Tribolium castaneum: one gene and its partner. The protein of the gene in region 1 purifies or fractionates together with the protein of each later gene. This does not show direct contact. Links are inferred from orthologs where the notes say so. Each region holds a gene or a part of one and is shown in the gene's direction. Other genes may lie near its edges.

Region 1 (4,266 bases):
TGTCAATTATTAGGATTAACATTAGGAAATGTGTAAGTCCCTGTAGGTCCTGAAGGAGTGGCAAATCCCTTTTTATTTTTTTCTTGATTTATATATTAACTACTTTCCTCAGAATTTGAAAAAAGCAAAAAAAAAGGAACAATATAGTTGACTACTTTTCTCTACAAGTTCATGAAAACGATTTTCACTAAAGTCGTACCTACGATTCTACCATAGATAATACCAAGCGATTTTTTTAAGTTTTGATCTAATTATCCATGACAGTTACCTCAGCAGTGAAATATATTGCGTAAATAACTTCAGCATCGGTTTATCTGCCAATGTTCTCCGAAGAACATAAAAAATATATTGAAACCTTAGTTTCGTAATAAACATCGAGTTAACTTAATTGTCATGGATAACTAGATCAAAATTTTAGAAAATCGCACGGTACTTATAGAAAATATATGTACACTCGTCTAGTTTTAAAATGTCATGTTCATAGATATTATTATCATCTGTTTATTGGCACGATATTTTCAAATAATCGAGTATATATGTACTTCAATCTTATAAAATAGTAATTAAAAATTAACCATACAAGTACCTAAACAACTTAAAAATTAGTTAAAACGTTTCTTTTTTACAAAAAACACTTTTTCTCAAATTGGTGTTCATTAGAAAAGAGTGCTTTGAGAGGTGCGGATGACTTGAAGCACCTGGTATACCTAGTATAAATATCTTAGATTTTTTGATAATTATATAAATAAATCTTAATTTAAAATTGTCTTTTATGGTATAAAATTAAGGCTCGTTAAACGAGCTACTTTTGGTGCACTGCCTATTTGCATCATTATTTCTAAAATGTTGCAAAGCTGATGGAATGACTGTGAAAATGTTGATTGTTTATGAGGTACTCAAGCGAATAGAAATAATCTAAAACACTAATCTATCCACTCGGTAATATCCAAGCTTTTAATCAATACTGACAGTTGATGACCTGATGTCTGGTGTGAGCGTCTTCTTAATCGTTAAGAAAGCCCAATCAATAAATCGCGCTTCGATTTGAATGTTAGTGTTATTGTGTTAAATAAAAATGGCGCTTATATTTTTGTCGTGTCGTCCGTTTTAAAACAAAGAAGTGCATTGGTATGGAATAAAAAGCGGCCCGCACACCTCGTATTGATTCCGCAGCGACAGCCCGGTGACATTCTTTATCAATACGTCACAGCTCATATTTCAAGTTCTCTTGCATCCGCCCTCAAAGCTACAAAGAAACTAAGTTCTTTCAGTAGCGGAGGGTGGGCGGTAGCTGTTCTGTGGTGGTAGGGCACCAATGGCCAGACGAGGCGCAGCCGCTCTACCCAATAGGCCGTGGCGAGTGCGTGACGAAACAGGCCCCGCCTTCCGGCACTTGCAGCACTTTTTCCCAATGTTTTTATTTATTACATTTGTACCCGGCGAGTGTACCGGTCGTGTCCGCACCAGTCGAGTACAGAGTGTACCCCGTGCGCACGACGCCCCGCCCGGCCATCCATCCGAGCCCTCACTGTTGCGACTCCTCTTCTGGGTGATGGACTCTGGTGCAGTGCTCTAGGTGTTCGCGTCGCGATGGACAACTCCGGGATGGACTCCGCCAGCGAGCACAGCAGCCACGCGTCCTCGGGCTCGCCGGCCGTCGCCGTCAAGCCGTCGCCGTCGCCGCCCGCCGCCAACAGCAACACGCACCAGGTGCACAGCCCGCGCCAGGCCAGCCCGCTGGGGCCGCCCATGTCCATGGCGCACCCGCTGAGCCCGCCGCCCGTCAGCTCGGCCAGTCTGGCCCGCAGCATGGCTCTGGGCCACCTGCCGCCCCCCGGCTTGGGCTTGCTCAACTCGCTGGGGGTGCTGCACAGCCCTCTGGACCTCATGGCGCATCACGCACCGCCACGGTCCTACAACAGCCCGCCGCCGATTTCCACCTCCGATCCCACGGCTAATGAGTGCAAACTGGTTGATTACAGAGGACAGAAGGTCGCCGCTTTTATCATCGCCGGCGATACCATGCTGTGTCTTCCGCAAGCCTTTGAGCTCTTCCTCAAGCACCTCGTCGGAGGACTGCATACGGTTTATACCAAGCTTAAAAGGCTAGACATCGTGCCGTTGGTTTGTAACGTCGAGCAGGTCAGGATCTTGAGAGGACTCGGTGCCATTCAACCAGGGGTTAACAGATGCAAGCTACTCTCATGCAAAGACTTCGATACACTCTACAGAGACTGCACTACGGCCAGGTACGTGTTTGCGGATTTTGGATTAGTTCTTATTTTAATCAATGATTTGCCGACAACTTCAGCGATTCCAGGACTTTGATCATTGTTAGATCAATGTGACTTTGAACAAATTATATTGATTATGATACCACAGACGAATATAGGTATTTATGACAACGATCCATAGCAAAGCAGTGCAAAAAAAACAATTTTTTGTTTGTTGATGCTTGCCATTATAAATATGCATTACCTACCGATATTTAAATAGGTATTTATAAAATTAACATACAGTAATAGTTTCCTAATCACTGATGATGCCAATTCAAATGAATTCGACTTTAAAGTGAATTAATTACTGTTATACGTATCTATTATTATTGTCAATACTAATTACATTATTACTTTTTAATCTCGGAACCTACATTATGGGGTTCTAATTTTTTATAATTTTATAATTTTTTTATAATTTTCTAAAGAAGTTCTGTTTTTTAATTGTTTTTGTTCTTTATATATTTTTTTTTATTTAACCTACTACAGTGATAAGTCATCGACCATTGTTTGAAATGCGATTTTCCTTTATGAAGTTAAAAATTTATACATTTTTTAGTGTTTAGTTAGGTGGTACCTACCTTATTTTTACCGTACCTACAGATATTTACTCACAAGTGGGGTCAATGACAATAATGACATGCTCTATTAATTTTATTTTTACTTTTATTTCCATGAAATCATACTGGAAAACAAAATCGATTTGTTCAAAAAAATTTTTATAAATGTTTCTACACAAAAGTATGACTTTCTTTTCTATCTCGGGAATAAATTATGCGCGGATTTTATAATCGTCAGGTAATTTTATACTGGGGATAAATTTTGAAAAATATATGGTTGTAACATTTGTAACTATAGTCGTTAGGGGAAGATAGCCTATATTATACCAAAGTAACCAAACGGAGGTACATTTTTGGAAACTTTAAACAAATAACTAAAAATGAGGTAGATTACAGAAAAACAAAGTTAAAAATGATTGTGTATGAGTAAAAAGACGCTAAACTATTGTAATATAAGCGCAAAAATTACGAAAAATTGGCCCGAGATTTGTTGTTTTGTTGATAACACAATGAAACTTTTAGCTACAGCTTTGAATTTTACTACACTGTCAAAAATACTTTCTGTTATACCTATTCTTAAAAAAATCGCAAAGATATAATATAGGCTAATTGTAGTAAAACATAAAAATACGAAAAAATAGTAATTTTGCTTTTTTAATTTTGTTCTTGAGCTTGTACAAAGGTCTAAATTTGATTTGGCGCTCGCTTGGAATGTAGTTACCTTTGTATAATTTATAAATGCTGCTCTCTTTGAAGCCTACCCCTTGCATTGGTAGAATTCCCCCGATTGCCAAGACAGCAGAGACAATTGCATTTATGATAGATGCAGTCTATAAATACAAACTGGGCCAACAAACCCCCGCGTTTAGATTGAAATAATTATAAACGCAATGAAACAAGGGGAGAATCGAGTGCAGGATAGCGTCCCCTTTCTATTTCTGCATACTCGACGATTGTTGATTCAATAACATGAAACTCGTCTGAATTCCAATCATATATTATAAAACTGGAGATAACGCACGTGTTTTATTAATGTTTCGTGAGGTCCGAGTGGCGCCTCTCAATCGATATATTATTTCGAATGGTATAAAGGGATGATAAGTTGAACGGTCATCTGACAGAACCTATTAGCACTCGGCTATTATAAAGGCGTAGGCTATCGGAAAATCTTTGAGGCTTCCCGGTGCGTTCATCCTCGCCCGAGCCTGGCCTCGGCTACTGACCATTTATAATATAAATATTAACGCTATTGTTTGTATTGTGGTCTTTAATGGAATTTGTTAAACATCACGCAAGGTTTTTCGAAAAAACCGAAACTTGAGCGAGGTAATTAAGAGACGTTAAAGCCATACAAAGTAGAAAACAACAATGGGATACGTGTAACAATAAACAAGACGGGAGCATAGTGTTCTTGTGGGGATTTAAATCAT
Region 2 (3,568 bases), on another chromosome or scaffold:
GAAAGTATTTCTAAAATTGTCTACAATACAAGTAGCGATTTACTTGAATTGGTGGAAAAAATTGGAGGGGTCTCGAAGGGTGCGAACAATAAAAGTAGTTGATTATGTAATCATTACTGTCTCACAAGTGTAGCACTTCACAAGTGTAGCAATAATTAAATAAATTTATGAGAGGCATAAGTTAAATTCGAACTGGAGGGTGTTTTATACTTACTTGATTTCAAACACACTAAAATAAGAAGAAGGGATAGTCCAGTAATGTATTGTAAATGGACCATTATTGGTTTGTGTTAAAAATTTCAAACGAAAAGAATTATTTAATTTAAATAAAATTAGATTATATGATCACGAAATGTTCGGTTTGAGTTCAATATGAAGACTGAATGCAGCTTCAAATAGGGCCTGCGCGAAACCTTGATTCTAACGGAAAGATTCATAAAGTGCGATCTGCGTTTAAGAAAAATATAACGGATTGTTTTTTCAATTTTTATTGATTGATAGTAAATGAACTGAAGTGAAGAAGGGTTACCATTTCCGTAATTACAAAAAAAAAAGTTGGCGTATACGTGTTACTGATTTGCTATGATGTGGCTCGATTAACTCCTACATAGTTTTTTTTTTCCGAAAAAAAAAATGTTTCGTTCGTGTTGCAAAGTCTGCAAAGTTGTGTCTACCCTTTAATTTATTATCCTAATTAGTATTACGAAACCGTTTGATACAATTGGATAATTCACCATATCCGTCCAAATTTGTTGCAATTGATGAAATAACACGTTGAATAACACCATCCATTTTTCCGCTTTGCGAAGGCGAGACAGGAAGTGGCAAATATTCCCTGTGGAATTATTATTTGCAAATCAATTTTATTTGGGTTTTTTAACCTATGAACCGTTGATGTATACCAAGGACGGACCAAGGAGCTCCTTGATGCATACACTCGGGGACGTATTTTGATCGAAAAAGTAATTTAAATGAATTATCCTATTAAGGTCAAGGGAACTGTGTTTACCCTAGGCAAACTAGCTCATACGCTACAAATAAAGCAGGTTAGGAATTTTTTCGTCATTTTGAAGAAATAGACAACTATTGTTGATCTCTTTATTACAATTTCTGTTATTTTAGTGCCAATGCTTCTTATCATACATTTTCTAAATAAAGGTTTTTTCCTCGCATGATAATTAAAAATAGTTATCTATTTGGTTATTACCATAATTTGTTTTTATTTTGTAGTACTTATCGCATTTAAAGTCGGACAGAATATAAAATATTTACACTTTTTTCTTTGTTTCCAAAGTTTTTTTGTAAATTAAATCACAATTTTTGAATGAAAATCGGCTAAAACTTTAGTCGTTAATATCACTGTCTTTTCATTTCTTAAATCGTATTTTTTGGATGGGGTAAGATGGGGTTCAAAGATCATGTTGGCAACCCGTAAAACACTGCGGTCAGTTTCCTGTAGAATTGTCTAGGTGTCGCTTTAGCGAATCATTTCGACATGACGTCATTCTCATTTCTGAAAATCCATGAAAGGGATGACTCATTCATATCGAAAGTTATTACGTCGTATTTGTTAGTATTCTGTAGTATTTCGAGAACAATACTACACAAGAAGTTAAAAGTTATATTCAAGAAATTTTCAAGCCAGTGTTGTGCTACATTGTGAGTCATTACAAATAAAAGCGCTTTGCTTTTGAATGTGGTGTTAAAGTAAGTGTTATAATATTAAAGATTCATTATTTACTTTTTTACCAAGTAATGCTTGAGGGACACCTCACAGACCTTCACTTTGTTTTCTTCTTCGAGAATCTTCATTTCTCGATATTCTTTTGTTTGCTATTGACGTAACTTAACCTAAAATTTCCATTTCAGATTTTATGGAAATTAGTGATTCCGTTTATTATTCACTGTTGGCTTTGGTCGTCGTGCCTGTTTACCTATTTTTCAATCTTTGGTCGTGGTTAGGTTGGGAATTGTACAAAAATAATTGATAAAAAAAATGAGCGGACCCAACTTTGAAAGTCAGCAAAAAAACCTCAGTAACATGAAGAAAAATCTCACTCTTGATCTTAATCAGTCGAAAATGAACATGAACCTATCGTTATCCCCCGACATCACGTCCGTCCTCAAAGTAGATACCCCTGACCTCCTCAAAGTGGACACACCCACCATTGAGAACATCATCTTGGCGAATAATATTTCACACACGCCTTCCCCTTCACTTATCTTCCCGCGGGACGTCACTGTGGAGCAAGAGAAGTTTGCAGGCGGTTTCGTCGAAGCGCTTAATTATCTTCACAATGGCAATTCTCAGCAAGGTTCTGACAGTAATGCCAGTACGGTTTACAGCGAACAGCAGAATTTCATGCCTGTGATCAAAGAGGAGCCCCAAACGGTGCCCAACGTGAATAATACGCCCCCAATGTCTCCTGTCGATATGGAATATCAGGAAAGAATGAAATTGGAGCGAAAGAGACAAAGGAATAGACTCGCAGCCTCTAAATGTCGTTCCCGCAAATTGGAACGAATCTCGAAATTGGAGGATAAAGTCAAACTGTTGAAAAGTGAGAATGTTGAATTGGCTTCAGTGGTCAACCAGTTGAAGGAACACGTGGGGATGCTCAAATTGGAAGTGATGGAACATGTGAATGCTGGCTGTCCCATCATTGCGGGACAGTTTTAAGGATAGAGTACGATTTATATTTTTTTATAAAAATTATACACCAGAGTGATTTTTTTATATTTTGGTGCTGAGATATTCATAGTTGTAGCTTTAATACTGTGACCATATTTTGTATGGAGCCATTTGAATTGTATTATTTACGGTAGATTTAGCGCGATTTGTTTTATTTTATGTAGTTTATCACATTTTTATTAATAAAAATTGTCTCAGTAACAAGTAGTGAATTCATTAAAAAAAATTGGTTAGAATAAAAACAATGGAAAATGGGTAAAGTCTTTAATTAACAATAAATAAAATTCTTTTGTCAAAAGCGACAACATAATTATTCGTGAAACTATATCATCATATCATAATACTGTAAGCGGTCATATTTCTTTGGAAATTAATAATTCTTCTACCCCCATGCGACCCCGATGTCTCCAGACTCTATAACGAGCTAAATCTTTCCTTGTTACCATTCCTATAACCTCATTTGTGTCATTAACAATCGGCAAATGTCGTAAACCGAGAGCTCGGAATAATCTAAACATTCGAGGTAGTGATGCCGACTGAAAAAAAAAAATGATTAAATGCTAATTACTTGTTTTTTTAATTACATGAAGCACCGTATATGGTGACGGATTCATAAACGGCCTCAGATCAATAGAATAAGTTTTTTCAACTTCGGAAACACTCACTTGCTAAAGAATTAAACTTAATTACTTAAAAAGGAAAGGGCGAGAGAAATACCACTACCTCTATTGTTGGATATCGGGGATACTCATCTCGAAAGATTCCCGCATTAATATCCTCCCAAAAGTCCGAATTTTCGTTAAAAATCTTCTTTTTCAAAATAACAATTAATTGTGACCTCAAAACTAACCCTCTTATTCTCCCATACGTGGTAAC

The links.
Region 2: the proteins of dac (region 1) and Jra purify together in Homo sapiens (affinity purification with western blotting; 3 studies listed by BioGRID and IntAct, with this or other methods). This does not show direct contact. The link is inferred for Tribolium castaneum from reciprocal best matches to the Homo sapiens genes DACH1 and JUN.

What each region holds. Positions count from the first base shown.
Region 1 is NC_087402.1:2,087,099-2,091,364, reverse strand, and holds the start of dac (dachshund homolog 1), read left to right. Parts: upstream 1-1,401; 5' UTR 1,402-1,590; coding exon 1,591-2,249; intron 2,250-4,266. UniProt on the Homo sapiens protein: Transcription factor that is involved in regulation of organogenesis. Seems to be a regulator of SIX1, SIX6 and probably SIX5.
Region 2 is NC_087399.1:145,955-149,522, reverse strand, and holds Jra (Jun-related antigen), read left to right. Parts: upstream 1-1,563; 5' UTR 1,564-1,707; intron 1,708-1,755; coding exon of another isoform or gene 1,756-1,828; intron 1,829-1,869; coding exon of another isoform or gene 1,870-1,988; 5' UTR 1,989-1,996; coding exon 1,997-2,680; 3' UTR 2,681-2,896; downstream 2,897-3,568. Other genes in the region: uncharacterized protein LOC663924, read right to left, coding at 215-278; phosphatidylinositol N-acetylglucosaminyltransferase subunit Y-like, read left to right, coding at 1,756-1,828, 1,870-1,988; ClC-b (H(+)/Cl(-) exchange transporter 7), read right to left, coding at 3,046-3,228, 3,277-3,360, 3,416-3,568. UniProt on the Homo sapiens protein: Transcription factor that recognizes and binds to the AP-1 consensus motif 5'-TGA[GC]TCA-3'.